Rhinolophus ferrumequinum: one gene and its partner. The protein of the gene in region 2 interacts with the protein of the main gene of each other region in a biochemical or structural test. Links are inferred from orthologs where the notes say so. Each region holds a gene or a part of one and is shown on either strand. Other genes may lie near its edges. The genes, in order: WDR82 and SETD1A.

What was found.
Region 1: the proteins of SETD1A (region 2) and WDR82 form a complex in vitro, tested with the Homo sapiens proteins (2 studies listed by BioGRID). The link is inferred for Rhinolophus ferrumequinum from reciprocal best matches to the Homo sapiens genes SETD1A and WDR82.

The regions. Positions count from the first base shown.
Region 1 is NC_046300.1:47,895,634-47,911,109, reverse strand, and holds the start of WDR82 (WD repeat-containing protein 82), read left to right. Parts: upstream 1-7,932; 5' UTR 7,933-8,259; coding exon 8,260-8,420; intron 8,421-12,644; coding exon 12,645-12,742; intron 12,743-15,476. UniProt on the Homo sapiens protein: Regulatory component of the SET1/COMPASS complex implicated in the tethering of this complex to transcriptional start sites of active genes.
Region 2 is NW_022680357.1:375,221-390,913, reverse strand, and holds the start of SETD1A (histone-lysine N-methyltransferase SETD1A), read left to right. Parts: upstream 1-6,982; 5' UTR 6,983-7,650; intron 7,651-7,695; exon of another isoform or gene 7,696-7,816; intron 7,817-7,910; exon of another isoform or gene 7,911-8,067; intron 8,068-8,393; 5' UTR 8,394-8,408; coding exon 8,409-8,558; intron 8,559-8,774; coding exon 8,775-8,870; intron 8,871-10,613; coding exon 10,614-10,884; intron 10,885-11,968; coding exon 11,969-12,090; intron 12,091-12,303; coding exon 12,304-12,533; intron 12,534-12,809; coding exon 12,810-13,659; intron 13,660-13,811; coding exon 13,812-14,597; intron 14,598-15,124; coding exon 15,125-15,301; intron 15,302-15,395; coding exon 15,396-15,483; intron 15,484-15,693. Other genes in the region: ORAI3 (protein orai-3), read left to right, coding at 1,008-1,235, 3,996-4,652. UniProt on the Homo sapiens protein: Histone methyltransferase that catalyzes methyl group transfer from S-adenosyl-L-methionine to the epsilon-amino group of 'Lys-4' of histone H3 (H3K4) via a non-processive mechanism.

The DNA of each region.
Region 1 (15,476 bases), on a different chromosome or scaffold from region 2:
AAAAAAAAAAAAAAAAAAAAAGAGTGAACCCTAATGCAAACTATGGACTTAGGGTAATTATGATGTGTCAATGTAGATTCATCTATTGTAACAAATGTACCCCTCCAGTGTTAGATGTTGATATTGGGGGAGGCTGTGCATGTGTGGGGGCAGGGGGTGTATGGGAAAGCTCTGTACTTTCCTCTTAATTTTGCTGCGAACCTACAACTGCTCTAAAACAAAAGTCTTTTCTGTAAAAAGGAGAAAAAATGGGGGGAAAAAAGGGCCAATCAACTATCTGGCTAAATTCATTTCTCCAATTAACAACATATGTTGAGCCAGACTCTGGCTTGACTTTGGATAAAATGTGAAAAAAATTACTTTACAAACACATGGTGGAGTAGTGTGTAGCCATTCAAAACGATTGTGTAGTTCTGTGTTTATTGACTTGGATGATGTTCACAGTATTATATGAAAAGGGTAGCTTATAAATAATATTATATTATGAACCCATTAAAATAGATCTCAGGGGAAAAATCTGAAAAGTTCTACATCAAAATGGCAAAATTTATGTTATATATATTTTACCATAATAAAAACAAATGTAATAGTAGCTATTTCGGGATACTGCTTTTTTTCATTATTATTATTACTTATGATGTAGGTGATGTTGGATCCGCTGGCAGTTTCTGGATCGTGTCTCATGAGACTGAAGAATGGACACACAGACCAGGGAGAGGCAAAAACTTTTAAAAAGAGGATAGTTTATTAGAGGCAGGAGAAGAGGTTGCAACTCCCGAGTGGGAGGGGGGTCCCGAATGGGGGTGTCCCGTGACTGAGACAAAAGGCTTTTACTTTTATACCTTCCCTTGCCAGTTTGGGGAAATGTTGCTGATTGAAGAAGAGAACTGGCGCCTTCTAATGAAATTCGTCTACCAGGTTTGTTCTGCTGGCCCATCCTGAAGGAATTAGCAAAGTAACCCACTCTTATCTATCAGCTCTGCTCTGTTTGTCAGGCCAAAAGGAATTTTATGATTAACCTCAAGGCCTTGTTACATTATGTCCTGGAGCGAAGGAGTGATTTCAAAACCTGGAGTTTTAGGATATGGCTGTTTTTTGTTTATCCCACCAGGGACCCCCCCTATCTACCTAGCAATCATACTAACTAAACTGTCTTACTTGTTTGTACTTTAGTTTTTCTGCAATGGACATGTATTTACTTGTGTGAAAAACTAAGTGAATATGTGAAATGATGATTTAAGAGTTTAGTAACATGGGGTAGCTGGATGGCTCAGTTGATTAGAGCGCCAACTCTGAGCTCTTAACAACAAGGTTGCAGTTTCTGAGGTTTGATTCCCACCATGGGATGGTGGGCTGCACCCCCTGCAACTAAGATTGAAAACGGCGACTACACTTGGAATTGAGCTGCGTCCTCTACAACTAGATTGAAGGACAATGACTTGACTTGGAGCTGATGGGTCCTAGAAAAAACAGACTCTTCCACAATATTCTGCCCCCCCCCAAAAAAAAAGTTTAGTAACATGGACAAATAAAAAATTAAGTCTGATGCTCTTTAAGGCAACCTGATTCACTTCTGACTGCAATCTTTCCCTTCCATCCACTCCCTCCACTGGAGCCAGCCTTTCTGGGTTACTTTTTAAAGTCCAGCCTTTAAGGCACTGTTGGACTGGAAGCTAGGAGTCTCACTATAACAGGGCAGGGAGCCAGGTTAGGAATGTGAAACAGAGAGAATGTGAAACAGGCTGAATCATTTCAGGACACTCTTAAAATATGAAAAAATGACTTTTTCCATTCCAAAAATAATTCAGGAAGTCAAGTCTTGGAAGAGAGCTTTGGTCTTACTAGTAAAATCTGGGAAAGTTACAGGAAGTACAAAACATGAAAGATACCCTGCAAAGATTTCTTTTGGCTGAAAACATTCAGTAGGTTATGGCTGTTTCTGTGGTTATTTTTTAGGTTAAAAGGGTCCAAAATACGGTATCTCACTGGGTGTTTCACTTTCCAACATTTCCAGGACACGGTACCCTCTGTCCTTGTTGCCGTCTAACTATTCAAAGCAGCCTTTCTAGCTTGTAAATTAAAAAAGCAGGAATTGCAGGGAAGTGAGTGTTCTGGAAAGTTGCCATCCACTTGGGTTTCACTCAGGCTTTTTCCAAACCCCAGAACAAATTGTAGCCAGAAGCTCTGCTCTTTGTCAGCAGGCAAATTGCAACCCAGACTTAGCCAGGATCTTGCCCTCTCCCCTCAGAGGACAACTTTTCTTTTTAAAAAAAATTTTTATAAGAGCTTATTTGAGTCAAACTGACGACATATGCCAGGGAGTGAGATCTCAAATGCTCCAGAGAATAAGTTTTGCAGCTTTTTTTTATACATTTGAAATTAAGGAGGGAATGCAAGGAAGATTACATGGAGTTGGGGGAAAAAGCAAGGCAGGGATTGGATTACAGGACAGTTAACAAGATTATGTGCTCTCTTGAGGGTGGTTATAGCTTATTTTAAAGATGTGTTAACCTAAATGCACAAAAACAATGGACAGAGCTTGCTTAAGGCAAAGAGAATACTTTAACTAAAAAGTTATATGCCTGGGGCGTGACTACCTCCCACGACCTGACCAGTTAGGAATTTATGATCAGATCACCCTGTGAGGTTACTTTCCATAGAACCCCTTATTTTTCATCCATTTTGATCATAAATCAATCTGAAGGACGCATTGATGACCAACCTTTTGGTCGGATAGTGTGGTCTCACAGTGCTAGGAAGTCTCATTCCTAGGAGTTCTCTGTATTGAGTTTGTCTTGACCACTGGGGATGGGGCAATACTGTAACCATAGGATCTGAGCTGAATTTTCCCCAAACAGGAAGGGCAGGTAAATGGAAGGCAGTCAGGTCTTATGGCCTTTATTATGAAGCACTGTATCATTTCTATCCAGTGAACTATCATGATCTGAGGTTTGCCTCTGTCTCATTTTTCTGTTTTTGGCATCTACTATAATAACATTTATATAAGCCATAAAAAGAATATTAACAAGTTACCTTATACATGTTTAGTAATCATAAACATTGTACTATATAGAAAAACCCAAAGAATAAGTCTAACTATTATTATGACTAATATCATTAGCAGACAAGTAAAGACAATCAAACAAAATGGATTCTGAGTTTAGGATCAATCCATAGGTATAAGCTATCCCATGTCTTCTGGATAGCTTTCTATCTCTGATGTCATCAACTTCTCACCCTAGAGGAAGGAGTTTTTGATGTTTGTAGACAGGGGTAGATGTCCATTCATAGTTATAGGGTCTCCAGTGAGGTTGGAAAGTGTCTTTTATTTGGTGTCCTTTCCAATAAACAATATCTAAAGACATGTCTCCTGTGAGTTCGCTGTGAAGGAAGTGGTTACCAACTTGACATTTTCTTGAGTGACTCTGTCAGACCTTGGTAATAGTGTAAGATGTCTCCTTTCAATTATGTCAGCTCATAATTCCTTCATCTAAATCCAGCTTCAGTCCACTGTGATGCATGAAGAAATGTAAAAACTGAAAAATGTAGAGCCAAGGTACAGGGAAGAACCAAGTGGCCATCTCAGGTTTCCCAAAGCCCTGATTAATCATTTAATTTACAGGCTTTGTTTACCCATACACTATACTCTAGAAGTTTACCTACATATATTGAGATTTTTAACCCTTAAAAACTTAATGTCTAATAAAAACTAAGAAGTAATCAATTAGCATTCTTTAGCTTGGACATTTTATAATCTCTAGAAATATTTTTCACAGACATAAAGGTCAATTATTAACATGGACATGTTTTTGTAAAACCCAGGCAAAATAGAGACATGTCTGTTTTTCTTAAACCAATAAACTTAAGCTAGCTTTTATTCACTAATAATTAATGTTAGATCATGTGAACTTGAAAATCATATGAGTTAGTTTCTATATTTCTGAGAATTTTAGATACCCAATTCTTATAAGTGCTTGCCTTTAAATTAATTTAAACAATACCATCTGGAGGTAGAAAATTATCTCTCATTTATAACATACATATATAGACATATACAAACAGACACAAACAGAGACTAGTTGGATACAATTTTTGTTTTGGAGGTATTTACAATTTACAATTTACAATGACCTTCCCCCTTTTAAAAGACAGCCATTTTGAATACTTCAAAGAATTGGGTTGACACCAAAACGACATCATGGGTTAACCCATTTTTCTAAATTCTCTTTTTGAAGCTTTGAGAGACCAATTAAATTCTGCTTAATTTTGTAGCTGGCTTTTTCTAATTGTGTTCACAAAAGATTAATTTAGAAGTATCAAAAGATCCTCATCTTGGCCATCTTAGTTATAAATAGGAGGCTAACTGTGGTGGGCCGTGTTGGCCTGGGAGGCATGATTTTGCATATTAATGTTGAGATCTGTAGAATCTGAACAAACTTCTAGGGAAAACCAGCCCTTCCATGCACATCTGCAGATAAGCCACATGCCATAGATATCCCTATAGGACTGCTTCACGCCCTAGAGGAAAATTTTCCTTAGACAACCCCATGGAGATTCTTAGTCACCTAAGAATACCTGTGCAAGGGCCAGTGAGAGCTTAGCAGATGCCACCAGAACCCTGATGCTTTCCTAGGCATGAACCCCTCTCCTGGGCCTCTCTCTTGGGATGCACTTGTTCCAGGGTGCCCTTTTCTTCTCCCTGGGGCTCCTCCCAGCTTCTCTGCGATTATCTATAGTACCGTACCGCACTGGATGACTCAGGAACCCCTCTCTACCACTCCAGATTTGGGGATCTGAACAACTATCATCATCCCATTGGCTATTCCGGTTGGGGAAGCAAGTGTCCTTTCTCTCGGAGCTAGACAGTTCAGTCTCTCATTTACCCAGCAAGATTTTGTCACAGACTCTCAGTAAGCAATCTAATTAAAAAGTCGAGATTAAAAGCAGCAACTCACTTTTCTCCTTTCCCTGGGTTATCTCAACCCTTATCCACCTCTAAGAATTTCTAAGAACAGCTCAAATAAAGTAGTGGCCTGCTCCTTAAAGCAAGGAAGCCCACAATTCTGAGAGAAACTCACCCAAGTTCACCAGAAGTGAAGCAGGGAACTGGTGGGCACAATGGGCCCTAGCTAGGGTCCACAGAGTGATTCTGGGTGGGCTTCTTTGGAATCCTGCCATACTGTGCCAAGTAAGTGTTGATGTAAAGAAATGTCCAAATCTGTAGAGAATTTTTATAAGAAAGAGTTTATTTGAGCCAAATTGACAACATATGCCAGGGAGCAAGATCTCAAATGCTTCCAATAACTTGTTTTTATGTGTAGGGATCTTTACCTTTTCTTTACCCAGAGGATGGGACACAGCCTTAGTTCTTTCTGGAGGGACCCCACCTGTCCCAGGGTTTTTGTTTTGTTTTTAGCATTGTCCAGATTATATCTGGATCTCTGGATAGCACATCTTCATAATATCAGTGATTAAAATGTTTCACAGTCTTTCCTCTTTATTTTTCTTCCTCTTTAGCCACTGCAATTTAGTGAAACAAAGTAAATAGGCTCCATCTCCATTGTTGGAGGTCCCAGGCCATTAAACTTTTGAGAAGCTGCAGCACAAGTTAGAGATCTATGAACTCTCATGGGTTGCACCGAGTTTAACTCCTTGCACAGAAGGTTAAAGCCAGGGTTCGTGGTACCTATTTTGTGATTAGATATCGCTTTCTTTTGTTAGGGATCAACTTTCCTTCCTTTAAGGCAAATAAATCCCTTCTTAGGAACCATTGAAACAATTTCGTTGACTACAAAGAGGGTAATGAAACTGTTCTATACCTTGAATGTGGTAGTGATTGCACAACTGTATATGACTGTTAGAACTATTGATTAAAAAGGCCAATTTTTACTCTACATAAATTATACCTCGAACATGGAAAAATGTGGTCTATACAATACTAAAAAAGGGGAAAGTGGTTTATGTAGATATATAAATAAGGAGGGAGAACTCAGGAGAATTTAAAACTGTATTTTGTTGAATGAGGAGACAATTCTCCCTCTTAAAAATTTCTTTGTAATTGATGCTGAATTTTGGAGCTGTAAATACATTTGAAAACTTAGATGAGTGTTTATAAAAATGTGTGGAACACTTAAAATTTGTTCACTGTATGCACTTTATGTTATGTATCAATTAAAATTTTAAAAGAAGGCTTGAAGTTCTGCCTGGTGGTCACATCGGTGTACAAGGTGTGATTAAAAAATACAGTGAAGGTTTATTTTTTAAAATATTTTTAAAAGTTCTTTTTCTTTTTATTTATTTTTTGAATGTTTAAATTTAAAAAATTTATTATGGTAAAAGACATTGCCATTACTCCTCCTCAAAATACTCTCCCTTACTTCGAACACACTTATCCCATCATTCTTGCATTTTCTGAAGCAGTTCTGGAAGTCCTCTTTCGTGACTGTCTTTAGTTGCGCTGTCGTGGCTGCCTCGATGGACTGAATTGATTAAAAAATGTTTTCCTTTCATGGTCATCTTGACTTTGGGGAAGAGCCAGAAGTTGTACAGTGCCAGATCCGGTGAATAAGGTGGATGAGGACACACTGCAATGTTTTTGACAGAAATTGCCGTATACCAGAAGCGATGTGTGACATGGAGTGTTGTCATGATGGACAATGAAGTAAAGACACTCAGGAATAAGGACTTCCAGAACTGTTTCAGAAAGTGGCAAGAACGATGGGATCAGTGTATTCGAAGTGAGGGTGGTTATTTTGAGGGGGACTAATGGCAATGTGTCTTTTACTGTAATACATTTTTTTATTTAAATATTCACCATATCTTTTAATTACACCACATATATCCAAATGAAAAAAATTCATCCACTAAAAATTTTTGCTGTCTACTGTATATTATATACCAATAAAAAATACAGAAATTGAAAGTATGTTGACTCTGTCATGATGTGTAGAGCATTATGACTCTGATAGTTGTCAGTCACAAAGTGACAGTCATGCCAGAGCGTCACATGAAAGGTGTACCCAGTGAAGGCCCTAACCAGATAACTCCAGATGCAGGATGGAGTGTGACCACCTGGACCATTTTATCTGACTGCAGATAGCTTTATTGGACTGCAGATGGGTGCACTGCACCCAGTCTTGAGCATAAAAACAGAGGCTCTCTGACAGCTCATCGCTCAGGCCTTAACAGCTGACAGCTTCATCTGCACTCCTCCCAGATAGACCGTTTGAAGTCTTCGCTCCTGACCATCTCACAAGCCCGGCCTGACGCGGAGGCTCTGCACTTCAGCACCGCAGGGACTCTCACTGAGCAGGACTCTTCCTCATCCTTCTTTTGTAAGACTCTGTTCACCTCGCCTAACCTTATTGTTTGCAAACCAGTGTGACCCTCTTTTGTGAAATCACCCTACCTTTACTATTGGAGGCTATCCTTTGGCTAGAGCCTTGGTTAATGCCCGTGGTAAACCGACTAGGTAGGATTAGATCCATGACTAGATCCATTCTAATAAAGCCTGACATTGTGGGGAGACACAAACTGATATGAGACTGCTACTTTGATAGTCACCTCCCGCTCAGGACATGTGGATTTGCGGCGAAAGCCTGCCTGCTTGCCAGCTGATGGGTTCACTGACTGACCCCTGGAGGGGCTTGGCGGATCCCCGCAGGACCTGCTTCCTGGTAAAATGCGGATGGGGCCTCTGCAGAGGACGCGCCCGAGTCTCCAGTGGGGCTGCTAACCGCACAAAGGCCCACGGCTCCCAGGCACCAGCGGTCTTCCCGCCCACGGAGGAGGTCGTGGACATCCCCACCCCCCTCCTCCCCACAGCCAGCGGCCATCCCGCCACTGCACTCCACGCCGCCGTGCTGACGTCATCGCCCCGCCTCCCCGCCTCGCGCCGCCGTTCCCGCTCCGCCCTCTTTCCCGGCTTGCGCCGCGATGCGGCTCCTCGCCCTAGGCTCCTGCTTGTCGCCCCAAGATGGCGGACACAATGAGCGGGCGTCGCTTGGGTTGTCCCTGAGGCGACTGTGAGGAGGATCGGTAGGCAAGGCCTCGCAGTCAGGCAGAAGAACATTGCACGAGCCGTAGGAGGGAGAGGAGGAGGCGGCCTGATTGTCGGCCGCCTTCCAGCTCGTCGCCGGCGCGGCGCCCGCCCCGCCCGGGTGGGCCCTTCGGCAGCCCGCCCGTTCGTTCGCCCGCCCGTTCGCCGCGGGGCCCCGCCCCAGCCCTGCTCCGCCGCTGCTGCTGCCAGCAGCTGCCGCCATGAAGCTGACCGACAGCGTGCTGCGGAGCTTCCGCGTCGCCAAGGTGTTCCGCGAGAACTCGGACAAGATTAACTGCTTCGACTTCAGCCCGAACGGCGAGACGGTCATCTCGAGCAGCGACGACGACTCCATCGTGCTCTATGACTGCCAGGAGGGCAAGTGAGTGCGGCGGTGGCCCAGGGCCCGGGTCTGAGTCCCTCCCTCCCTCTCGTGGTTCGCCCCGCGGCCAGCTCCCCTCCCCGACTCCGGCCCCCCGCCGATTTTGTGCTCGCTCCTGCCAAGGCCGCTTCCACTCTTCCACTCCAGAGATGTCCAGGAGACCTTTTTTTTTTAAAAAAAAAAAAAACAAACAACTAATGATAGCATTAATATTTTGTGTGTCTTTGGTCTCTGAGAGCACTTCTGCATCTTTTGCCCAACTCCACCTTGACCTTGACCTTTAAGCGCCCGACCCGCCCACCCTGGCCCCAGCTGGTAGCTTTTCCACCGCTCGGACTCCAAAAGGTGCGGATCGGCTTTGCCCTCCGCGGAGAACCTCAGAGGCTGCTCTCCTGCTTCATCAAACGGCGTCAGCTTGCTCTCTGTGCCTTCTCCTCGGTGACCTCGATTCAGCCCTGGCACTCCGCCCAACCCCTGCCCCTTTGCTTCCCGCGGTCTTTCTGCCGGAAGGCCGCGTGGGTTGCAGTTCTTAGCTGTCAGGATTTATTTGTTGTGCCTCTTTGGGTCCCGTGTCCTTTCCTTTCTGTTTCAAATCATGCTCTTCCTCCCTCAGACCCATTGCCCACGCTTATTGTGAACTTTGTAGCAACATCTGAAACTTTTCCTTTTTGCCAGACACGACCGAACTTGGCTCGACCTGAATGTGAACCTCCCATTAGAACAAAGAAAGCATCGTATAACAATTTCATGTTTCCTCTTATGTTTAAAGAAAAAAAAACACTTTAATTCCAAGTCTAGTCTGACCGTGAAATTTCTGCGTTGCCCCAAGTGCTGGATACCCACCACACCTGCATCTCTGCAAAATCTTACAAGCACAGTATTTTCCCTTTTCCCCTGGGGACCATGTCAGCTTCACCTCACACTTACTGCCTCCACGTCCTTGCTAAATTGTGAGCTCCTTCGGAGCAGAAGCTGGATTAAGCTAAATTTTATTTCCTCTCAGTCACCTTCCCCGAACAGGTTTGCAGATGTTTGATGTAACTCGGTGGCTACTGGTTTTGTCAGATTTCATTTTGTTGCCTTGATCCACATCTTATTTTTGGAATCTGGGTTTTTCTCTACTTTCTCCAGTTCTTTTGCCTGAAAAACAAAAAACAAAACTGGTGTCTTCTGTAAACTTCTTTTGGGACTTGTCTCTTCGTTTGTAAGTTTGGTTATCCAAAGTAATGCTGTTTTGGTCTGAGCTATAGTGTTCTCCCCAGTTTTTCCCCCACTGGGGCTATGAAAGAGTATTACGTAACTGGCTCTGCATCTGCCTGCAGTATGTGGAAGAATGGCCCATAGTGGTGGTCCTGGGGGGAGAGAGGGTTGTCAGCTGGACCTATGCTGAGTTATTTGAGTTAGTGTTACTCATTTAGTATTTGGATTTCCTTGTCTGGCCACTTGAATCAGCTTGGAAGAGAGAATAAGGTACAAAGCTGGGGGTGCGGGGTCGTTGTGGGGTCCTGGAGCTAGAAGTAACTTGAAGCTGGCTTACTTGAAATGTTTAGTGCTTGTGCACAGATTGGAACCTTTCCCTGAAATCTGAGGATGGAGGTGTATATCCTCATTCAAAGGAAATAAAGGTGGTGATAGCATTTCTTCATAGTTTGTCTCCTAATTTCAACTTGTTGCAAGGGATGACAGTGACTTGAAGTCCTGTCTTGTTAAAAGTAAAATGTTAATTTTATGATATAATGCAGTTTATTCACTTACATAGCATTTTTACATAATTACAAACTTAAGAGTTACAGCAGTGTTTCAAAGAACTCCCATATGATCCAGTAATTGGCTACATTGCCCCCTTTGACTTTTTCTCTATATATGTATTTATATGTATGCATTTTTTTTCTGAACCATTAGAGAGTAGATTGGATGTATCAAGCCCCTTTATCCCTAAACACAGATTCCGGTGACATGGTTTTCCTAAACACATAAGGACATTCTCTTATATAACCAGAGCACAGTTATGCAAATTAGGAAATTTAATATTGATAAAATAGTATAGGGCATGCTTTTAAAATTTTTTTCTTATCAATTGTGGACTTGTTTCATTGTGATCTGTGATGGGAGAGTGGTTTGGTAGGAGACCTGAGTTCTAGTTTGTCCTTGTGACCAGGTACCGTGTTTCCCTGAAAATAAGACCTACCCAGACAATCAGCTCTAATGCGACTTTTGGAGCAAAAATTAATATAAGGCCTGGTATTGTATTATATTAAATTATATTATACCCGGTGTGTTATAGTAAAATAAGACCAGGTCTTATATTAATTTTTGCTCCAAAAGTCGCATTAGAGCTGATTGTCTGGCTAGGTCTTATTTTCCGGGAAACACGGTATGTCACTGGTCAGATCACTTCTCTGGATATTAGATGACCTCTTTTAGCCTTTAGGAGTCCATGATCCTAAATGGTAATAAGAAAACATTTGCCACTAGTGTAGGTCAAACTAACATTGGAAGAAAAGTAATGTTGCCTTGTAAGGCATAATACCTTTATTAGATGGTACTAATGTTAACATTATATTATAGCTAAAACAATGTTCTTTATGCTTGATATTTTCTAATTTACTGTTCATTTAAACTTATAATGGAGTTTATCCATTGAGTGATTTTTTTTCAACTTGAAAGAATATGAATCTGTGGTAGGTGATGTGAATTATTCAAAGGAAGGCTTTAATATTATTTATTTATTCATAATTGATCACCAGAATCATAATAAGTGGAGAGAAGCTTACCAAAATATTTGTGAAAAAATGTTCCTGGGCTTTGTAAAGATCACCTGAAATGGACGTAATACATTAGGATATTGCTTTCAAAGTAGGAAATGATAAGAGGTAAAATATTTCTGTTAAGAACAAATCTCAGGTTAGTGTTATTGATAAATTCGAGACAAATAGGCCACAGAAAAATTTTCCCTTACTCCACACGCTTTAACGTTGGCTCTTTAGGCTCTGTTTTCATAGTTGTAGATAGACTGAAATACTGGGATAAGTAAGCTTTTCTTTCCACCGGTAGAGGCAAAGTCAGCTTATCTTTTGAGAGCAAGAACATGTGCACATGCTCATACTCACTCCCTCCTTCCCTCCCTCACTCACTGGTTAGTTTTACTACACAGTAACCCCAATGCGGAACCTGGGACAGTGGACTAAACAAGGTAGCCTTTGAGCTGATCTTTCTAGCTGATTTTTCAGTATGGTAAGGATGTGGAACATTCAGTGCATTTGGAAGGAGAAGTCTTGTTTGGAAATAAGTTTTATGTAGGGAAACCCTTAGCCTCACTGACATTAACAAAAATTGAAACTGCAAACGATTGACTTCATAAAGCTGCCTGAGGCATCTATCTCATTGTTTAGCATCTAGGTTCCAAGAGGATTTTGCATTGACAGGGTGAACGTCTTTTTCATAAATTGGAATTCTTGGTAAACATTGGTACAGGATTTATGAAATCCTCCTACGCTGAAATGTAGAACATTGTAAGTTTTTGAGTATGGTTTCAGCTTCATCTTCAAGCTTCTATAGAAGAAGACATTTAAGGAGCTTCAATGAATGGATTGACATTCTCTAGATGGGAAATGTGTAATTTTACATTAAAATAAAAAGAAAACTGATGACTATTTTGCTAGGGATAGTTAAGCTTGCCTTTCCAAAGGCTCGGTAAGTGCTTTGGACCTTTAGGACAGGGAGGATGGATAGCTTCTGCAACAGGTTATATATATTAGGAAGTTTTGCATCAGGTTTCAGTTTTGATGAATTATTTCTTCTTGAACAAAGAACCTAATAATTGAGTGGCTTAAGAAAAAGTTCCGGCCTTATTGGTTTGACGTTTTTCCATATCCCCCTTTGTTATGTTATGACTTAATGTTGTTTTCTGTGCCTTTCTTACCAATAGATGTACCTTTTTGCAAAGCTTACTTTTGAACATTGGAATAAAAAGACTGAACAGAGTCCTCAGATTTACTTCCACTTCCTAACCTTGGCATTTGGCATTCAGAGCTGAAAGTTGTTGCACTTGATTGATTCTGTTTGTTCCCTTTTGGAAGAAATTTTGTTTCTTTCCAGTTTTATAGCTTACCAGGAGTCCTCACCCTTACCACATCATTCAAGGGCTTCTCTCTTTATTAAGATCCCAGATTTTGGTGATGGAGGATTTTAATGGTTTTCTTTCTCTATCCATTTCCTCACCAGACCAAAGAGAACCCTGTACAGTAAGAAATATGGCGTGGACCTCATCAGATACACTCATGCAGCAAACACAGTCGTTTACAGCTCTAACAAAATAGACGGTAAGCGAGCCTTCTTTTTAGGAAGTTATGGCTATGGTTTCCTTTGTTAAATAGTTCGCGGATTGTTTGTGACTACATCTATTTTGTTTATACTGTGTTTCCCCAAAAATAAGACCGGGTCTTATATTAATTTTTGCTCCATTAGGGCTTATTTTCAGGGGCTGTCTTATGTTTCCATGTATAGCAACCTACATTTATTCAAATACAGTCATATCATCTTCTAGAACATCGTCATAACGTATTAAATGCATCCATCTAGCTGAGATCTTAACTGAGTCTTATTTTTGGGTAGGTCTTATTTTTGGGGTAGATCTTATTTTTGGGGGAAACACGGTAGTTTAAGTATTTTCCTCTGATGTTAGCAACGCTAATAACATTGTTATGACGAAGAGATGCTGGAAACAAGCCACTAGTGTTTTGAAGGGCTTGAAACAGTATGAAAGAGTAGAAAGTGGGAATAGGAAGTAACAAATTGTATTTATGGTTTGTACTTCTTGAAACTTGAAAGAATTCTTTTAGAACAAAAGGAAAGAATAGTTGACACACAGCAAGGGTAAACAACAGTACTTCCTGTTCAAAATATAGAGATCTCAGAAAAGTTTTCACAAATGTGAGCTATGATAATTTAGGGCATCTTAGAAGAGTTTTTGGTGTATGCCCAACCTTGTACGGTCTGAGTCATAAAGGATAGTGTACTGACTTTGGTTATCTTTGATTCTGGGCATATTTTTTGATCTGAATTTTATCCTTTTCCCCTTTACTTTTAAATAAAGCTAACGTCTTTGAAGGTTAAAGAATTATTTGTAGAAATTAAACTTGTGAGTTTCTTTCTCTAATAAATGGCCTCTGTTTTTACTTGCATTTCGCCTGGGAGAAATCATTTTCACTTGACAGATCATCTTGGTAATTGAGCAGTAACACTCACTTTCATGTTAGGACTTTTTTTTCCATTTAACTTACTGATTTATTGACCCCCCCCACCCCCCACACACACTTTTTGTAGTAAGATTTTTCTAATGTCATTCAACAGACTGTTTAGACTGCTATTTTAGCTATGCCTATCTCAGAGCAGGTGGGCAGGTCTTTTTTTTTTTTTTTTTTTTGACTTTTTCTGCCTGTACTTGACTTTTAGTAAGTATATTTCTACTTTCCATGACTTTATTTCAGAAGTGGTGTTCTAAGTAAGCGTGCATTTGATGCTTTTGGATAAGAATATAAAACATTAGAATCCAGAGGAAACATCTCTGACCTCTGCATGACTGGTATATTTCTTCTGTTGGGGTGTTTTTCTGGGTGGTTAAATGAGGATTGTCCAAATGGGGTGCACGATGAGGCAAATGTGTGGCACTTGCAGCTTTGCTGCCAGGCCTCTGCTGTGAGGATGTGGCCCTTCCTGTCTCGAGTGCATCCTGAAGAGTTCTCCAACGCTTCGTTTCCTTTTGCCTGATTCCAGGCTGAGGTAGTAGTTTGTACAGTTTGAGGGTCTATGATACCACCCGGTACAGGAGATAACTGTACAGGCCACTGCCTTGCCAGGAACAGCGCGCCAGCTACCGAGTGGGGCGGAGAGGATGGCGACGCCCTGCTCATCTCTGGGAAACCAGGTAATGGGAGGAAGCCTTTTTCTGCTTAGGGCAGGTGAGTAGTTCCTAGCAGTAGAATAACCAGGAAGACTTTGTAGCTGTCATTCGAGAACTTGGAAGATGTTTCCAAGGAAAACCATGTAGAAGTCAGTTTTGGAACATAGAAAGAGGAGCCTTTTCCCTCTCAGGTTACATGCCCTCTTATTAGAAAGTACCCCTGTGACCCACTGGGATGACTTGGTGCTTTCAGCCTCTTTGTTCCTGTGTCCTGTTTGCCTCCAAGAATGTTCTTTCTGTGCTTTCCTTTCTGCATTTTGGCACCATTTCCTATTAACCTCTTTCTGCACAACTGTTCCTTATTCATAGTCTTTCGGGGCATAGTACTCTCCAGTTCTAGTCTTCATGGTACTTCATTCCCTTCCCATCATCATTTTTTTTTGTTTGTTTACTTTTTCAGATAGAATCATTTGATTTTTAAGAGTGTCTTATTTTACCCAAACACAAATCTCAATGATTATTCCTTTCTTTGATATTGTCAAAAGTCTCACTGCTATGACTTGGTATAGTTCATGAGTTTGGTTTTGAAATGTCTTGAGATCTTTTAATCTCAATTTTCTCACTTCTTTTGACTACATTATTATTATTATTCTTTTTAACTCACTTCTCTGGTACAAGGGACAAGTGGATAGTTGGCTAATTAGAAAAGAAGCAGTAGGACATTACTTCTCTCCATTTTGTTTAGTTTTAATGTAAATTGTATATCCAGTTAACATTCAGGTGAGGTTAGGGGTGCATCCACACAGTGTTAGAGAACTCTAGACAGAAATATTATGCCCGAGTCCAGCCTGATCCTCAGCTTGGCACGGCTGCTTAATTCTTTGAGTCTGTATCCTCAGCAGCCAGATGTTTTTCTTTAAGGCTTGCCATTCTGTGGGCACTGAAACTATTGTGGTTTTAGGGGGGGGGTGTGAGGTAGGGAGTGACAGGGTATATTTACAGAACAAGTTGCATTGTAACTACTTGTATGCAGAAGCCAAAGATTGGTAGTAACAATGATTTTAAACATTGCTCTATATGCTGTCAACTTAAGAACTGTGCTTTTGAATTATGTCATATCTGTAGTGCCCACTCTTCAGCTGTGGATAGGAATT
Region 2 (15,693 bases):
TGGTTGCCATGGGAACTTAGTAACTCTCCTGGCCCGTCCCTGCCCCTGCCTCCGGGGCGGGGCGGGGTTTGGGAAGCCAGGGCCCGCCCCTCAGCCCCGGCCAGGGTGGGAGCTGGGTTGTACCATGTAGGGGAGGGGGGAATCCACATACCTCAGGTAACAGGGAGGTGCGCGGGTGGGGGGAGGGACTGGGCGGACCAAAGGCCGAGGGGAGGGGGTCCTGGGGATCGCGTAAGGCTTGAGGATGAGGCCGCTTGGGGGAGGGAGAGGAGGCAGCCCGGCGGGGGACGAATGGGGGACCCAGCCGGGCTGGGCCCCGGATCTGTACAATACGGTTTGCTATAAAACTCAAAATCTTCCAGCTGGGGCTGCCGAGTTTGTGTGTCTGTTTACGGCGTCGGGGGCGTTGGGGTAGGGAGGGGATGACCGCAGTGGTCACCCTTTGGGGCTCTCGGAGGAGGGGCTGTTTGGATGGATCTGGGAGTCTGGGCCTGACGGCTTCCTGGAGCCGAGCATGCAGGGTCCCCCGGGATCCCCACAGTCGAACAGGCTCGCCTTCCCCGAGTTCACAACTTAGGTAGGGGTTAGGTGGCCAAGTGTGCTGGAAAGGTGCGGGGCCCGGGAACTCCGGGTCACGGGCTGGGGCCGGCCGTTCACGGCAGCGGGGCTCTGGCGTCTGGATGACATGCTAAGTCTAGGGTCGCGGGGTCCCTCGGGAGCTCTGCGGACAGACCCCCCGGCTCCACCCCATCATGTGGCCACCGGCTCCGCCTCCGCCCCAGTTCCTGTTTCGGCCTGTGCTGTCCTGTTGCGGTCCCTCGGGCTCCCAGTAGACGCCAGCCGCTCCTCCGCCCCGGGCCTCCTTTCTCTGGGAGCCCGCCTGCGCATCTCTGCTCGCCCCACCGGGGGATGGGGCCGCCCCCCGGCCCGGGCCGGCCCTCCTGCAGACTCCGAGGCGACCTGGCCCCGCCGTGACCGCTCTGCAGTCTGGCGCCGCGGCCCCCAGCATGAAGGGCGGCGAGGGGGACACGGGCGAACAGGCCCCGCTGAACCCGGAGGCCGAGAGCCCCGCGGGCTCGGCCACGTACGGAGAGTTCGTGCACCGCGGCTACTTGGACCTCATGGGGGCCAGTCAGCACTCCCTGCGGGCGCTCAGCTGGCGCCGCCTTTACCTCAGCCGGGCCAAGCTCAAAGCCTCCAGCCGCACGTCTGCCCTGCTCTCGGGCTTCGCCATGGTGAGGGGAGGGAAGGCACGCACAGCGCGGGGGTCGTGGGCACAGTGAACGGGTACCCACTGGAGGAGGGCGACGGGGAAAGAGGAGAGCAAACGGGGTCCCAATGGGCGGCACAAGTCCCTTTCTAATGGGTGGGGGTGTGTGTGAACACCCGTGGCATGAGCTGGGCCACAGGGACGATAAACAAGTACCAAAGGTAGCACTGAGGCGTATACATGCGCAAGGATGGGTCACAGAGTCCGAAAGCGTAGTCCAGGCAGGAGTGATGACCGGATCCCCAAGAGAGTTCAGAGGCAAATCAGAGCTGGGTGGAGGCTGTAGAAACCGGGCAGGAAGGGGGTGGAGTCAAAGAATAAACTTGGAGTGGCCACCCAACAAGGTGGGCGCATCCCGAGGAGGGCTGGCCCCAGCAGGTGCAAAGGGTGCTCAGTGTAGCCTAGGGAAGCTTTGCGAAGAGAGAATGGCTGTGAGGGAGCCTCTGGGTAAAGAAGCTGATGAGGAAGCTGATAACACTGGGGGTGTGGGACGATGCTATCAGCTAACGGTCCCAGTGGAGGCCTCCTAGAAGGTGGTACTGAGGTTGGCCTCCGGGTGAGGAGTCAACAGACGCAAGTCCTGGCTCTTTCCTGCTTGTGGCCAGCGGTGTCACCCTGGACAGGCCAGCACTCCGCAGGTCAGTGGGAAAAGGTGAGATGCTGGAGGGTGTGCCCTCTGTAGCCTGCCAAGTACCTGCCACAGGATGAGCCGATTGTTGTCATCAAATCCTACATCCCAGCATGTTAGAGCAAGACACACATCAAAGATGGCGCCAACTACCTGTTAATTGGACAGGCATGGAGGCCAAGGCCCAGGACGGGACAGTGGGTCTGCCAAGAGCACTCAGTAGGTGAAGGATATAGAATAAACTAGGACCCAGGGTCACTGGACTGTTCGTCCAGGGTTTCCCCACCACCATGACAGGACAGAGGCAGCGGCTGGTGGGGTGGGGGGAGGTCCTCATAGGACTAGGCTGCTGGGATCAATTGGAGATGAGAATAGAAGGGTCATAGCACTAGGTGGTTTGGTTCGTCCCTGCCCCTCTCTGGGTCCCGGCCTCTGTACCTGAAATGATGAAAAGGAAAGTCTCTACCTCTCACGGTTATCCTAGGTCCATGGTTTTCTGTGTGGGGGCCCGGGGTCCACAGGCCAGTCCACGCTTCCTGATGTGGTCATCTAGGGACAGGGAGTACAGACCGCAGAGGGAGGGAAGCAGTCCCGTGGACCTTCACCTCCAAAACCTTGTGGTCCATCTGTTCCCGTGGTGACAGCCTGGCCTGCTGCTGGACTTGGGTGTTGCTGGGGTCACAGCTTAAGGGTCAGGATCTTCTCTGCAGGATCGAGAGGCCAGATGGGAACGTTCTGGGGGCAGGATCGGCTCCAGTCCTGCCAGGGGAGAGTGTGGCTGGGTCAGGCTATAGGAGACACCAGGACGGCCTGGCCCAGATCCGTTTGTGGAAGACACCTGCTAACACCCGTCATGGCCCAATTTCCCAAAATACTCAGACTTGTCTTCCTACTACCACTCTCCAGACTCTGCACCTTCCTCCTTCCCTCAGCCCGGAGCAATCTAATGGATCCCACAAGAACGAGGCTGGGGTAATATCCAGATTCTGGAATCCCGGTGGCCTGGGTTAGAATAACATACAAAAATAGTACTAAACTGTCACTAAGTATCAGGCTGGTAGTGCTTCTGTGTTTATCATCTTTCTATTATCGAATGAAGTAGGTACCGTTACTATGGCCATTTTACAGGTGAGAAAGCAGGATCAGAGATGTTAAGACACCTGCCCAGGGTCCCACAGCAAGTAAGTGGCAGTATTGGAACTTAAGCAGTCTGGTTCTAGAGTCCAAATTTATACAAGTTTAGAACAGGATCATCAAATGTTTGCAAGGGCCAGGCCTGTAATATGGATACCAAGTTGGCTGTGTGGGGCCTGAGGATATATGTGACCTGTCCCAAGGCAGCAGCTGTGACTCAACTCTAGCTGCTAGTGTCCACGCCGGAATATGGGCCTGGTGTAACCAGGTCTGTCAGATTTTCTGGAGGATCTGGAAATAGGAATATTTATATGAAATCTCTTGAGTTTTAAAAGTTGGCAACTTAATTCTTTAAGAAACACACTGGATGAGCCAAGAAAAACATGTCTGCAAGCTGGCTTGAATTCATAGCGTGCCAGTTTGCAAACTCTGGCCTTGCACTTCGGCACTGGCTCCAATAATCACCGAAACACCTAGTGCTGACTCGTGCCTTGCACTATTCTGATAACTTGATGTATATACCATCAGTCAGTTTTCACAACGACCCTGTAAGGCAGGTAGGTACTGGTATTAATCCCCATTTTCCAGAGGAGGAAACTGATGCACAGAGAGAGAACTAAGTCACTTGCTCAACACAACACCGCTTGTGGACCTGAGAAGGGACCCAGGCAGCCTAGCTCCAGAACCTGTGCTTTTTAACCCGTGTGTGGTAACGAGGTAAGATCGTCAGAAACATGTCACCCAGCCCTCTTGATAGCTCGGTGGGAGAACCCAGACCCAGAACAGGCCAGAGCCTTGCCAAGGCTGCCCCTTCAGGCACTCAACAAAGGCTGGGAGCCTTGTTTCCTCCCGCCAGCCACCATTCTAGGGCCTAAGGCCACGTAAGGGATATGCGCCAGCAGGCAGATCCCACTATGTGGAGAAGGTTACGAGCGCTGAGTCCGTGGTCTCTTGTCCCCACAGGTGGCCATGGTGGAGGTACAGCTGGAGAACAACTACCAATACCCGCCAGGCCTGCTGGTGGCCTTCAGTGCCTGCACCACTGTGCTGGTGGCGGTTCACCTCTTTGCCCTCATGGTCTCCACGTGTCTGCTGCCCCACATTGAAGCTGTCAGCAACATCCACAACCTCAACTCTGTCCACCAGTCTCCACACCAGCGACTCCACCGCTATGTGGAGCTGGCCTGGGGCTTCTCCACTGCCCTGGGCACCTTCCTCTTCCTTGCTGAAGTTGTCCTGGTGGGCTGGGTCAAGTTCGTGCCCATTGGGGCCCCCGTGGGCACGCCTGCCCCCGTGGTACCACCCTCCCACGTGCCTGGGACTCTGCCACCCGTGGCCACCTCCCTTAGTCCCGCTTCCAAGCCATCCTCTGCTCCTGTGACCCCGCCACAGGCTGAGACGTCTGAGGCCTGCCCACCCCGGCAGGTCTGTGGCGGCGGGGCCCATGGACCAGGCTGGCAAGCAGCCATGGCCTCCACAGCAATCATGGTACCCGTAGGGCTTGTGTTTGTGGCTTTTGCTCTGCATTTCTACCGCTCCCTGGTGGCACACAAGACAGACCGCCACATGCAGGAGCTAGAGGAGCTGAGTCGCCTGCAGGGGGAGCTGCAGGCTGTGTGAGGCTGGTATGGCCACCTCTACAAACACTGCCTCCCTCCGGGTTCAACCACAGATCCCAGGTCTGCCGACCGCTGCCCTGACTCTGCCTGGAGCCACTTCCTGAGGCCACTCTCAGGTAGAGACCAGATTCCTGCCAGCAGGGTCCTGTGGGCGGGGCCTTGGAGCAGCTCCCACATTCCAAGGGATTCTCCCTGTCAGCTTGCTCCATGGGCTTTGTAAGTTCTGCTCTATACTGGCTTGGAGGAGCGAGTGAAAAGTGCTCAGTCCAGGCTCCTGGGATAGGTGGAGGGGAGGCAGGGAGACCCTGGTCAGACCTTTGGTGCTGACCCTTAGCTACTTCTTGCCCCTATACAAGACGTAGCAGTCCGGTATAGGACACACCCTCCCAGCTGCCCAGAAGGCAGCAAACCCTGGCTTTTATTATTTTTGTAGAATCTATTTTGTGGTTACCATTTATTGGGAAGCTTTTTCCCATCCCCAGATTTTGATGGGTTCCACACTCTTGCTGTAGCTGCTGTAGAGAGGGGTTTGGGCGTTTCTGCCCTGGCATAGGTCCAGCCTCTCCTAGAAGGAGCCTCCCTGTTTTTGGAGGTTCAAGCGCCTGTCCAACTTCCCTAGACCCACACTGGATGCTTCTATAACTGGTTCTCACTCTTCTGTGCCAGGATTGGGGGTGGAGGGCACGGGGGTCTTTGGAGACCGAGGGCCTGTGAGCCCCAGACTGACTGCCTTATCAAGGGTTGGGGTGAGGTTTTAAAGGAGAAGGTCCAGCCCCTCCCGAGCCTTTGGTATCCTGACACTGAATTTTTGATGCACCTTGTTTTGTATAATAAATTGTATTTCACAGATGTCCCTGTGGCTCTGAGTGGGGTGAAGGGGAGGTCTCTTGGGATCGGGCGACTTGTTCCCAAAAGCCCAGCAGAGGCCAGTGTACCTGGGGGCGGGGCACGGCTGGGGGAGAGTGGGTTCCAGGTGTGAACCCTTCCTGGTGCTGACGGGCCGGTAGCTTCTGCAGGTGGAGACTGAGTTATTCCAAGGCAAAGGGCTTTGGCACGCTGGTTCCCGAGCCCAGGTGCTCTCTCTTCCACTGAGGATTTAGTATAAGTTTCTTTCTTGAGTGACTGCTACCTATGAGGAGCTTTTAGGTTATCTCCTTGAGACCTCACCTCCATCGCGAGACGTCTTTCTTGTTTCCATTTCCAAGGTAAGGACGCTGAGGCCCGAGACTCAGGCTTGTGCCCAGAGCCACACAGCCAGTCAGTGAAAACTAGGACTACTTTGACCCTCACATGGGGAATCTCTGATTTGAGAAAAGGAGCCCCTACCTTTCCACTGGGACAAGAAAAAGGGATATGATCTCATCACACGTGCTTCCACGTAAATGAATTGTTTCCAGCTTCGTTTCCCTCAAATATTTAAAGCGTCCCAATCCTCTCTCTTCCATTCTTAGGGTGTGAGGTCTTGAGAACAAGTCTCCTTTGCTCTTTTCCTGTTACTTAAAATGGTGAATTTGCATGCACCAGGCTTCTGGGGCTTTTCCTGTGCTGTTCTGATACCTGCGGTAGTCCTGCGTGACGGGGATTAATGTCCATTTCAGAGGAAGACTCTGAAGCTTTGAGAAGTCATACAGCAAGAGCTGTATATAGAGATGTCTGGGTCTTAGGGCAGAGGTGCCTCCTGGGAATGCCATTATCTGGAGACGGGACACCCTGCATCCAAGAGAGGGTGACCAGCGTCAGGGCGGGCTTAGCCCCGGATCCCCGGTGTAAGCTTGTGCTGGTGCTGCCCTCCAGCGGCGGGACCGCGTAAGCATAGGCACCCCCCCCACCACCACCACCGGCTGAAAACGGCGGGCACTGGGACCGTGATGCCTGGAGAGTCGACAAGCCCACCCTAGTTCCCGTAAAACCTAGTTTAATTCTTACAGGACCCACTTAAGGGCCTTTAGGTCGCACCAAGTTTACCACAGAACTTTAAGACAGCCTCGGATTTAAGCACCAACGGTGAGCCGAGCAGGGGAAAATGTGGCACCTTCTGCAGGCCTCAGTCTCCCCATCTGTCAAGTGGGCACGTTAAACTGCGAGAGGCCCAAGAGGGATAACGGGAGGAAACCGCTCCCTGCATTACGCGAGGCGCCAGGGAAACGGCCTGAGTCACCGCCGTTCGTTGTATTTTTTCACCTCCCGGGAGCCCCTCCCACCCCGCCCCGTTTCGGTGGGTCCTACAGGAAGCGCCCCCGCGACGCCGGCCTCGGTACGCTCTGACCACGCCCTCTGCGCACGACGCCTTGGCTCCGCCCACAGGAGAATTCGCAGATTCGCTAGGCCGGTTCCTCAGAATTACTCAGGCCTCTGGGCTCGACCGAAAATTCTCATGGGACTCGGAGAGGAGCTTTGGGCCGTATTTATCTCCCCCGGGTCGGAACTGGGCAGTTCCCCGAGCTGTGCTAGTGAGAAAGATCCATAAAAAGTGGCCGACTCTTGCCAACAGGGCTTGGCTAACCAGGCATTCTTTTCTTGACTCCACCAAGGCGGGGAAAGGGAGGAAACAGCTGGGGCCGGGACCTGTGGCGAATCTGCAGCCTCTTAGACTTTTGGCCGCGCAAGGAAGGGGCAGGCAAGAGGAGCGAAAGAGCGCGCGTCCCGTCCACCCATTCGCCCCGCCCGCCTGACGAATCTGCGCCCGTTCAACGCACCACTCCTCTCCCCGACTCGGGCTGGCCTCCTCCCCTCCGCCCCGCCCCCTTTTCCTCAGGGATTAGTCGCTGCTTTCGTCGCCGCCGATTCGTCAACGACCCCAGGCCCGAGCAGCTGGATAGCCGTGGAGAAACCCACTCTCCGGGGGATGCGGCCCGTCTCCAGGCTCCCTGGGCCGCAATTCTCGACCCTTACAGGGCGCCGGCCGAGGCGAAACCGCTATCCTCGGCACCGTGGGTCTCCCGGTGGCGCCCGTGGCGAAAGTGCGAATGTGGACACTGTGCCCGCTGGGCCTCGCGCAGGTGGCGGTGGTGTTTGGTGCGCGCGCCGGGGAGGTGGTGGTGGGGGGGCGCCGCCGCCGCCGCCACCGCTGCGGGGCCGGGTCTCGCGCTGCCGCCGCAGCCGCCGCCTCGCGCCACTAAGGTGCTGCGCGGGGTGGGGGGAGGGGGAGCCGCTCGACACGAGCGGGTGAGTGGGGCCGCGCCGCGCGTGCGCGGAGATGGGGGGGGCAGAAAGCGCCGGGGCGGGAGGAGAGGGCAGCGGCGCGCGTTCCTGCCACCTCCCTGCTCCGATTCGGGGCCGAAGCCGGGGCTCGGGCTCGGTCTCGCGGTGTTTCCAACGCCCCGAATAGGTGCCACCTCTTGGCTGGAGGATCGGGGCGCGGGGACGCGAGCGGGTGTGTGGGAGCGGGAGCCGGGCTTGGCCCGGGCCGCTGGCCGGTGAGGAGGCGGGAGGGGGCGGGGCCTGCCAGGGGGCGGGGGAGGGGTCTTGCGCCGAGGCCAAGTGGGGCGCGCGCTGGGGAGAGCCGGGGCGCGAGATGGGCCTGGGGTCCGCGAAGAGAGTTGGGAGGTGGAGAGAGAATGGGGTGTCGTGGCGAAAGTGTGCTTGGGGGGACATCGGGGGCCGCCACGGGTCATGGGGAGGTGGGGAAACTGGGGTGATGCGAGGACCCCGAGTCTGGGCTGGTCGGTGAGGGGCAGCAAGGGAGGCAAGCCTGAGACCTGACCCCGCGCCCCCCTCTTTGCGTGTCCCTCTGTCCTCACAGTGTAAATGAGCAAAGATGGATCAGGAAGGTGGGGGAGATGGGCAGAAGGCCCCGAGCTTCCAGTGGAGGAACTACAAGCTCATCGTGGATCCTGCCTTGGACCCTGCCCTGCGCAGGCCCTCGCAAAAGGTGTACCGCTACGATGGAGTCCACTTCAGTGTCAACGTGAGTGCCCCGGGCCGCTCCTTGCCAGCCGGGGAACTCGGCCCCACTCTCCGGTTAGCTCTGTGCAGCCCCCAGAACGTCTGTGCCCATAACCTGCTGGCTTAAAAAGTGGGTACCCAGCAGCCAGCTCTTGCAGAGGGGTCTCCGGAGGGGCTTCTTCGCGCTCCATAATGTGGTTTCACATCGTGTGCTTTCTATCCCTGCTTTCCTTTCTAGGACTCAAAGTATATACCGGTCGAAGACCTCCAAGACCCCCGTTGCCACGTCAGGTCCAAAAACAGAGACTTTTCCCTCCCAGTCCCTAAATTTAAGGTATGTGTCTGCTGGTGTCCTGGTGTGGTGGCCTTTGGAGGGGGTGGGGGTCCGTCCTCGCTGTCTGGCCGTACTGTAGCCAATAAAAGGGAGTTTTCCGATGAAAGGGTCTCAGCCAGGTCTAGCAGTGTCTGAAGCTGTGAGGGGATTGTTCTAGACAGGAGGTGTGGTTCACATTCTAGAAAGGTATAGGTGAGGGGTCCCAAGCAGGAGTGTCGACTTCTTGAAGGATATTATAAAGACAGGCTCAGTTGCTCTCCCTGTCACTCTGTATTCTAGACAGTGCACAGCTTGACAGTGCCCTGGTGTGATACCCCAGGTTCTCAACGGTTAAGGGGACTGTCAAGGCCAGGAACCCCATCCCTGGAGTCCTCTGTGCCTCACCCTTCATTTGGCCATTGGATCCTCCATCACGTTTCCTCAAAGATTCCCATTTTCCTGACCAGGCAGGATACTCCACAGGCTGGGCTTAGAAAACTGGTGGTTCTTAGTTTCCTTCACTAACTCTTTCTTCTTCTTCGTTTGTAAGTAAATCGTGTGTTGGGTTCTCTCACCCCTCTTTTTTTAAGTTCGTACACTTTGCCTGGACAATCTCTTTCACACCCATGAGTTTGACTATTGCTGAAATGTCCATGACTTCCAAATCTCGGTTTCCAGATGAGATCAGTCTCTAGAATTCCAGACATAGGTGCCTGGGAGTGGGACAGCTCCACCTGGAGGCCCCACGGCCGTCTCAGACTCGAAAGCAAATTCCCTTTCCCCCTTTAATCCTGCTCTCCCTTCCATCTACTCAGCTGCACAAGTTAGACACCCGGGAACCATTCTGTGATTCTCCTTTCATTTATCACATCATCTGTAACAAAGTTCTGCTGACTCTTTTTCCTAAACGTATATTTTTACCTTAATAATTCCACTTCATTGCTATTTCTGTAATGTAGACTCGTGTTCATTTCATTTCACCTGGTTTCCTTGCCTCCTTTCTCCATTTTATGCTCCGCTGTGCTGTCATTTTGTCTTTTTTATTTCACTATTCTCTGAGTTTACTCCGGTTGCCAAGTCTGTGTTCTTGCGTATTGATACATATGACTGACACACCTCCGCCTTTGCCACTGCGTACCTGTGTTCCATACACTTTGCAATTTCCAGGAAATGCTAAGTTATTTTCTACCCAGTGCCTTCTGAGTGCTTGTCCTGGTGGTGAACTCCTGCTTGTCCAAAACGCCCAGGATGAGTGACACCATCTCCATGCAATCTTCCCTGCCTCCCACTCTGAACAGAGGTCTCCTCCTGTGGGCTCCTGTACGCTCTGTCTGCATCTCTGCCAGCGCGTCCTGTGTCCTGTTAGCATTGTGTGTGTCTTTCTGTCTTGCCGACGTTCCCAGACGGTGGGCCAGCAGTCCATCTGTGGATTCCTAGTGCCCCGTCCATGGTGATCACTTCGTAAAAGCTGTTAGTGAATTATTTCTCTACAAATAGTTCCTTCCGTGTGTGTTTGTTCCTCAGTTTGTACATTACTTTTCCTGGTTCTTGCCATTGTGCTGTGGTGAGAAGAGGTCAGGGAAGAGAGGGGTCAAAAGTGATGTATCCCTTGATGGAGTCCCTTCCTATTCCCTTGTCTCTCAGTTTCCCAGTTCTGTTTCTCTTGACTCTTGCTCTAAGTTTCTCTTGCTCTAAGTTTCCCAGTGGACAAAGAAACAGAGGTCAGCTCTGAGACCCCACACTGAGCTCTCGTCCTCTCCGCAGCTGGATGAGTTCTACATCGGGCAGATCCCGCTGAAGGAAGTGACTTTTGCAAGGCTCAACGACAACGTGCGGGAGACTTTCCTGAAGGATATGTGCCGGAAGTATGGCGAGGTGGAGGAGGTAGAGATCCTTCTTCACCCCCGTACTCGCAAGCACCTGGGCCTGGCCCGCGTGCTCTTCACCAGCACGCGGGGAGCCAAGGAGACGGTCAAGAACCTCCACCTCACCTCGGTCATGGGCAATATCATCCATGCGCAGCTCGACATCAAAGGTGAGGCTCCCCTGCCCGCCGCCGCGGTAGGGCCCCAGCGGAGACCGTGCCCCCGATGGCTGCTGCGGCCAGGCAGGCGATCAGATTCGCGATGAGCCTTACCTGAGCCTCTTGGAGCCAGGTGGCTTTCTGGAATCAGGATCTTACAGAGGTGTTGTGGTACATAATGTTTTGTGTCATCTCCAGCAGGCTTGGGGAGCACGTGACTATACTTGTAAGAAAATGGATGAAGGGTCACACTAGGTAGGATGAATGAAAACTAGTAAGTAGCCTCAGCTCAGCTCAGCTTGTGACACTGAATTCCCCAAAATAGTGGGTGTTGAGGTTTTGGGGTTTTGAAATTTTGGATTGAGAATTAGGGACCTGTTGTATAGGCGAGTGAGGGAAGAACTCTAGGCTTCGGTGTCAGGGTAACAGGGAGGGTGGGGCTCATGGCGAGCTGTAATGCAGTGCCAGCTACAGGGGGGCAGTCCTTAGTTGGTATCAGCCAATTTGCAAGTGGGAATGAGGACTAATATTGCCAAATATTCCGGTTTTTTAAAGCCAGAAGTCTAGATTTTTATGTGAAATCTCATGGTTTTAAAATGTTGGGTCCCCACCCCCACCAAAAAAAAAAAAATTTTTTTTTTAAGTGACTGTGTAAGGCAAACAAAACAGCTGTGGGCTGGATTTAGCCCTGAGGCTGCCGTTAGGTTGTTTGTAGGATGAAGAGTATGACAGGACCTCATACCAGACGACCTGGGCTTGAATTCCAGTTCTGCCACTGACCAACTTTGTGACTTTGTGCAGGTCCATTTTCTTTTAAGTCTCTAACGAAGGGGCACCAACACTTTTCCCTCCCCGTGGTCATCCAGTATATTAACCCCTTTTGAGAAAGCGGAAGTGTCATAATCCATGTCGTTTGTAGTAGTTGTCAGGTGGAGGTGAGGTAGAAGGTCCCGGAGGTAGAGACAGAAGGTAGAAGAATTGAAATCCCCAAACCTGATACTTACCTTGACATCTGAGGACGACGTGAGAATACCAAGTCCGGAAGGAGTTGTCTTCCCCCATCTGACCCTGTGGGTTCCCGTTTTTCTTGCTCCAGGACAACAACGCATGAAGTACTATGAGCTGATAGTCAATGGCTCCTACACCCCTCAGACGGTGCCCACAGGGGGCAAGGCCCTGAGTGAGAAGTTCCAGGGCTCCAGTGCAGCCGCCGAGACGGTGAGAAGCCTGTGGGGCCATAGCTCTCGCCATGTGAGCGGCGGCTTGAGTGCGACGCCCGGTCTTCGGGAGGTTCTGCAAGTATTAGAAGAGCCAAGAAAAGATGTCTCGATACTTTCGAAAGACAGGGAACTGGGGTTCTTGGTTTGGAGAAAGGTAAGGTGTTAAATGGCACTCACTGTTCGTTTCTGCGTGCTCCATTCTCCCCTGCAGACCGAATCCCGCCGCCGGTCCTCCTCCGACACGGCTGCCTACCCGGCAGGCACCGCTGGGGTGGGCACGCCTGGCAACGGCACCCCTTGCTCCCAGGACACAAGCTTCTCCAGCAGCCGGCAAGACACCCCATCTTCCTTTGGCCAGTTTACCCCTCAGTCCTCCCAAGGAACCCCGTACACGTCTCGGGGCAGTACCCCCTACTCTCAGGACTCTGCCTACTCCAGCAGGTACAGACTGCCTGCCCTCTGGGACCCCCAGGTTCTGGGAGCGGCCGCTGCGAAAAAGAAACCCAGAGTCCCGAAGAAGGAGTTGGGAATAAGTTGTCCTAGTTTTTCTTAGATTCAGCCGACAAATCCCTGTTCTCAGGGCTCGCACTGGCTGGGTGTCAGCAGCGAGTGGGTCTCCTCTGGGGGCTGCGGAGGGGCGCTGGGTGCTGAGGCCTGAACCTGGGCTTCGCCACAGCTCCGCCAGCCCCACTGACTCACCCTGCGCTTTCCCTCCAGCACCACGTCGGCCTCCTTCAAGCCCCGGCGGTCAGAGAACAGCTACCAGGACTCCTTTTCCCGCCGCCACTTCTCTGCGTCTTCGGCCCCCACGACCACCTCTGCCGCCGTCTCTGTCACCACTGCAGCCACCGCCACCTCCTCCACCGCCTCCTCCTCCCTGTCCTCGTCCTCCTCCTCGTCCTCCTCTTCCTCGTCCTCTCATTTTCGTGGTTCAGACTCAAACTACCCAGCATATTACGAAAGCTGGAATCGCTACCAACGCCATCCTTCTTTCCCACCCCGCCGGGCAACTCGGGAGGAGGCCCCTGGGGCACCTTTTGCTGAAAATACCGCCGAACGCTTTCCACCCGCCTACACCTCCTACCTGCCCCCGGAGCCCAGCCGGCCCGCCGACCAGGACTACCGGCCTCCGGCCTCAGAGGCTCCGCCCCCGGAGCCTCCCGAACCTGGTGGAGGCAGCGGCGCTGGGGGGCTCAGCCCTGAGAGAGAAGAAGCCCGGACCTCCCCCCGCCCAGCCTCACCTGCCCGTTCCGGCTCCCCAGCCCCAGAGACCACCAATGAGAGTGTGCCCTTCGCTCAGCACAGCAGCCTGGATTCCCGCATTGAGATGTTGCTGAAGGAGCAGCGCTCCAAGTTTTCTTTCCTGGCCTCTGACACAGAGGAAGAGGAAGAAAACAGCACCACGGGCCCTGGGGCCAGAGACACGGGGATGGAGGTGCCGGCGGGGCCAAGTCACGGGCCCTGCACCCCCCCTCCAGCTCCAGCCAGCTTTGAGGACGTGGCCCCTGCAGGGAGTGGGGAACCAGTGGCTGCCCGGGAGTCCCCCAAGGCCAATGGGCAGAGCCAGGTGAGGTGGGGTCAGCCAGCAGAGGTGCCCGGGGTCAGGGAGGTGAGGTCAGGCCCAGGGGAGCGGGGAGGGCACTGGCAAGAAAGCAGGGGTTTGCGGGAAAGTCCAGGGTACGGGCAGAAGCTTCCTGTGACCCTCCTCTGCATCCCCAGGCTTCTCCATGCTCTTCCGGAGAGGACATGGAGATCTCCGATGACGACAGGGGCGGCTCGCCCCCTCCGGCCCCCACCCCCCCCCAGCAGCCTCCGCCCCCGCCCCCTCCGCCCCCTCCCCCGCCCCCCTACCTGGCTTCCCTTCCCCTTGGTTACCCCCCCCACCAGCCTGCCTACCTCCTCCCACCCCGACCTGAGGGGCCGCCGCCCCCTGAGTACCCGCCGCCTCCACCGCCACCCCCCCACATCTATGACTTTGTGAACTCCCTGGAGCTCATGGACCGACTTGGGGCGCAGTGGGGAGGGATGCCCATGTCCTTCCAGATGCAGACCCAGATGCTGACTCGGCTCCACCAGCTGCGGCAGGGCAAGGGGCTGGCTGCAGCCTCGACGGGCCCCCCTGGCGGGGCCTTCGGGGAAGCCTTCCTCCCGTTCCCGCCACCCCAAGAGGCGGCCTATGGCTTACCCTACGCCCTGTACACACAAGGGCAAGAAGGCCGCGGGGCCTACTCCCGGGAGGCGTACCACCTGCCTTTGCCCATGGCCACCGAGCCCCTGCCCTCGTCCTCAGTCTCAGGAGAGGAGGCCCGGCTGCCCCCCAGGGAGGAAGCCGAGCTGGCAGAGGGCAAGGCCCTGCCGTCGGCCGGCACCGTGGGCCGCGTGCTGGCCACCCTGGTCCAGGAGATGAAGAGCATCATGCAGCGAGACCTCAACCGCAAGATGGTGGAGAACGTGGCCTTCGGCGCGTTCGACCAGTGGTGGGAGAGCAAGGAGGAAAAGGCCAAGGTGAGGGCCAGGGCCAGGGCCTGCCCCGGGCAAGCTGGGGCTCCGCTGGAGGAAACAGCCCTCGGGCTTCTCTCGGAGACGCCGCTCAGAATAGAGAAAGGGATGGACGGTGAGGGCACGTGGACAGACACGGGGCACCTGGGGGACACCAGGTGGGCAGCGTCGCGGGGGGCGCATAGCACCGCAGAAGAGCATGAGCCCGAGAGCCCGAAGAGCCTTGTGCCGGCTCCGATGCCTGCTTGCGGTGGACGAGGCTCTTCAGTGTCTGTCTCTGGGCTTTAATCTGCAGCGTCTCCGTTTGTAGGGTGGGGAGGATAGGAACTATTTCCTCAGGGTCCTGGACTGTAAGCTCGCAGACCTGTGAGGAAATGCCTATCTGGGGGCTGGTGCAGCAGAGGTACGGCAGGGGTGGGCGCCAGGCGGATGAGCCAGGAGGCGTGTTCTGTGCACCGGGAGCCTGGCTGTAGTTCTGGCAGGAGGCAGGAGGGAGCGCCGGGGATCTGGGCTCAGTCCCCTCGTGCCCACAGCCGTTCCAGAATGCAGCCAAACAGCAAGCCAAGGAGGAGGATAAAGAGAAGACGAAGCTGAAGGAGCCAGGCCTGCTGTCCCTTGTAGACTGGGCGAAGAGCGGGGGGACCACCGGCGTGGAGGCTTTCGCCTTTGGGACAGGCCTGCGAGGGGCCCTGCGGCTGCCGTCCTTCAAGGTGCCCGGAGCCGGGGCCTCGCCCGGTGGGGAGGGTGGCTGGGAACCCGGAGTGTCTGAGCTCTAAGCGGGCCTCGTCTCTTCCCGTCCGTCAGGTGAAGCGAAAAGAGCCTTCAGAAATTTCAGAGGCCAGTGAGGAGAAGAGGCCCCGACCTTCCACCCCAGCTGAGGAAGATGAAGATGGTGAGTGGCGGGTCAGGTAGAAGGAGAAAGGCAAAGGCTGCTGAGACCCCAAGAGGAAAGCAGGAGGCGGGTGAAGGGGTGAGGTGTCTCACAGGCAAGGGCGCAGTGGAGATTGGGGGGCAGGGTTGTAAGAAGCAGCTCTGAGAGGGGTGAGAAGCTTCAGGTGGGTTGCTCCCGGGGTTTTAGTTACGGTTCTTACTCTGGTATGCG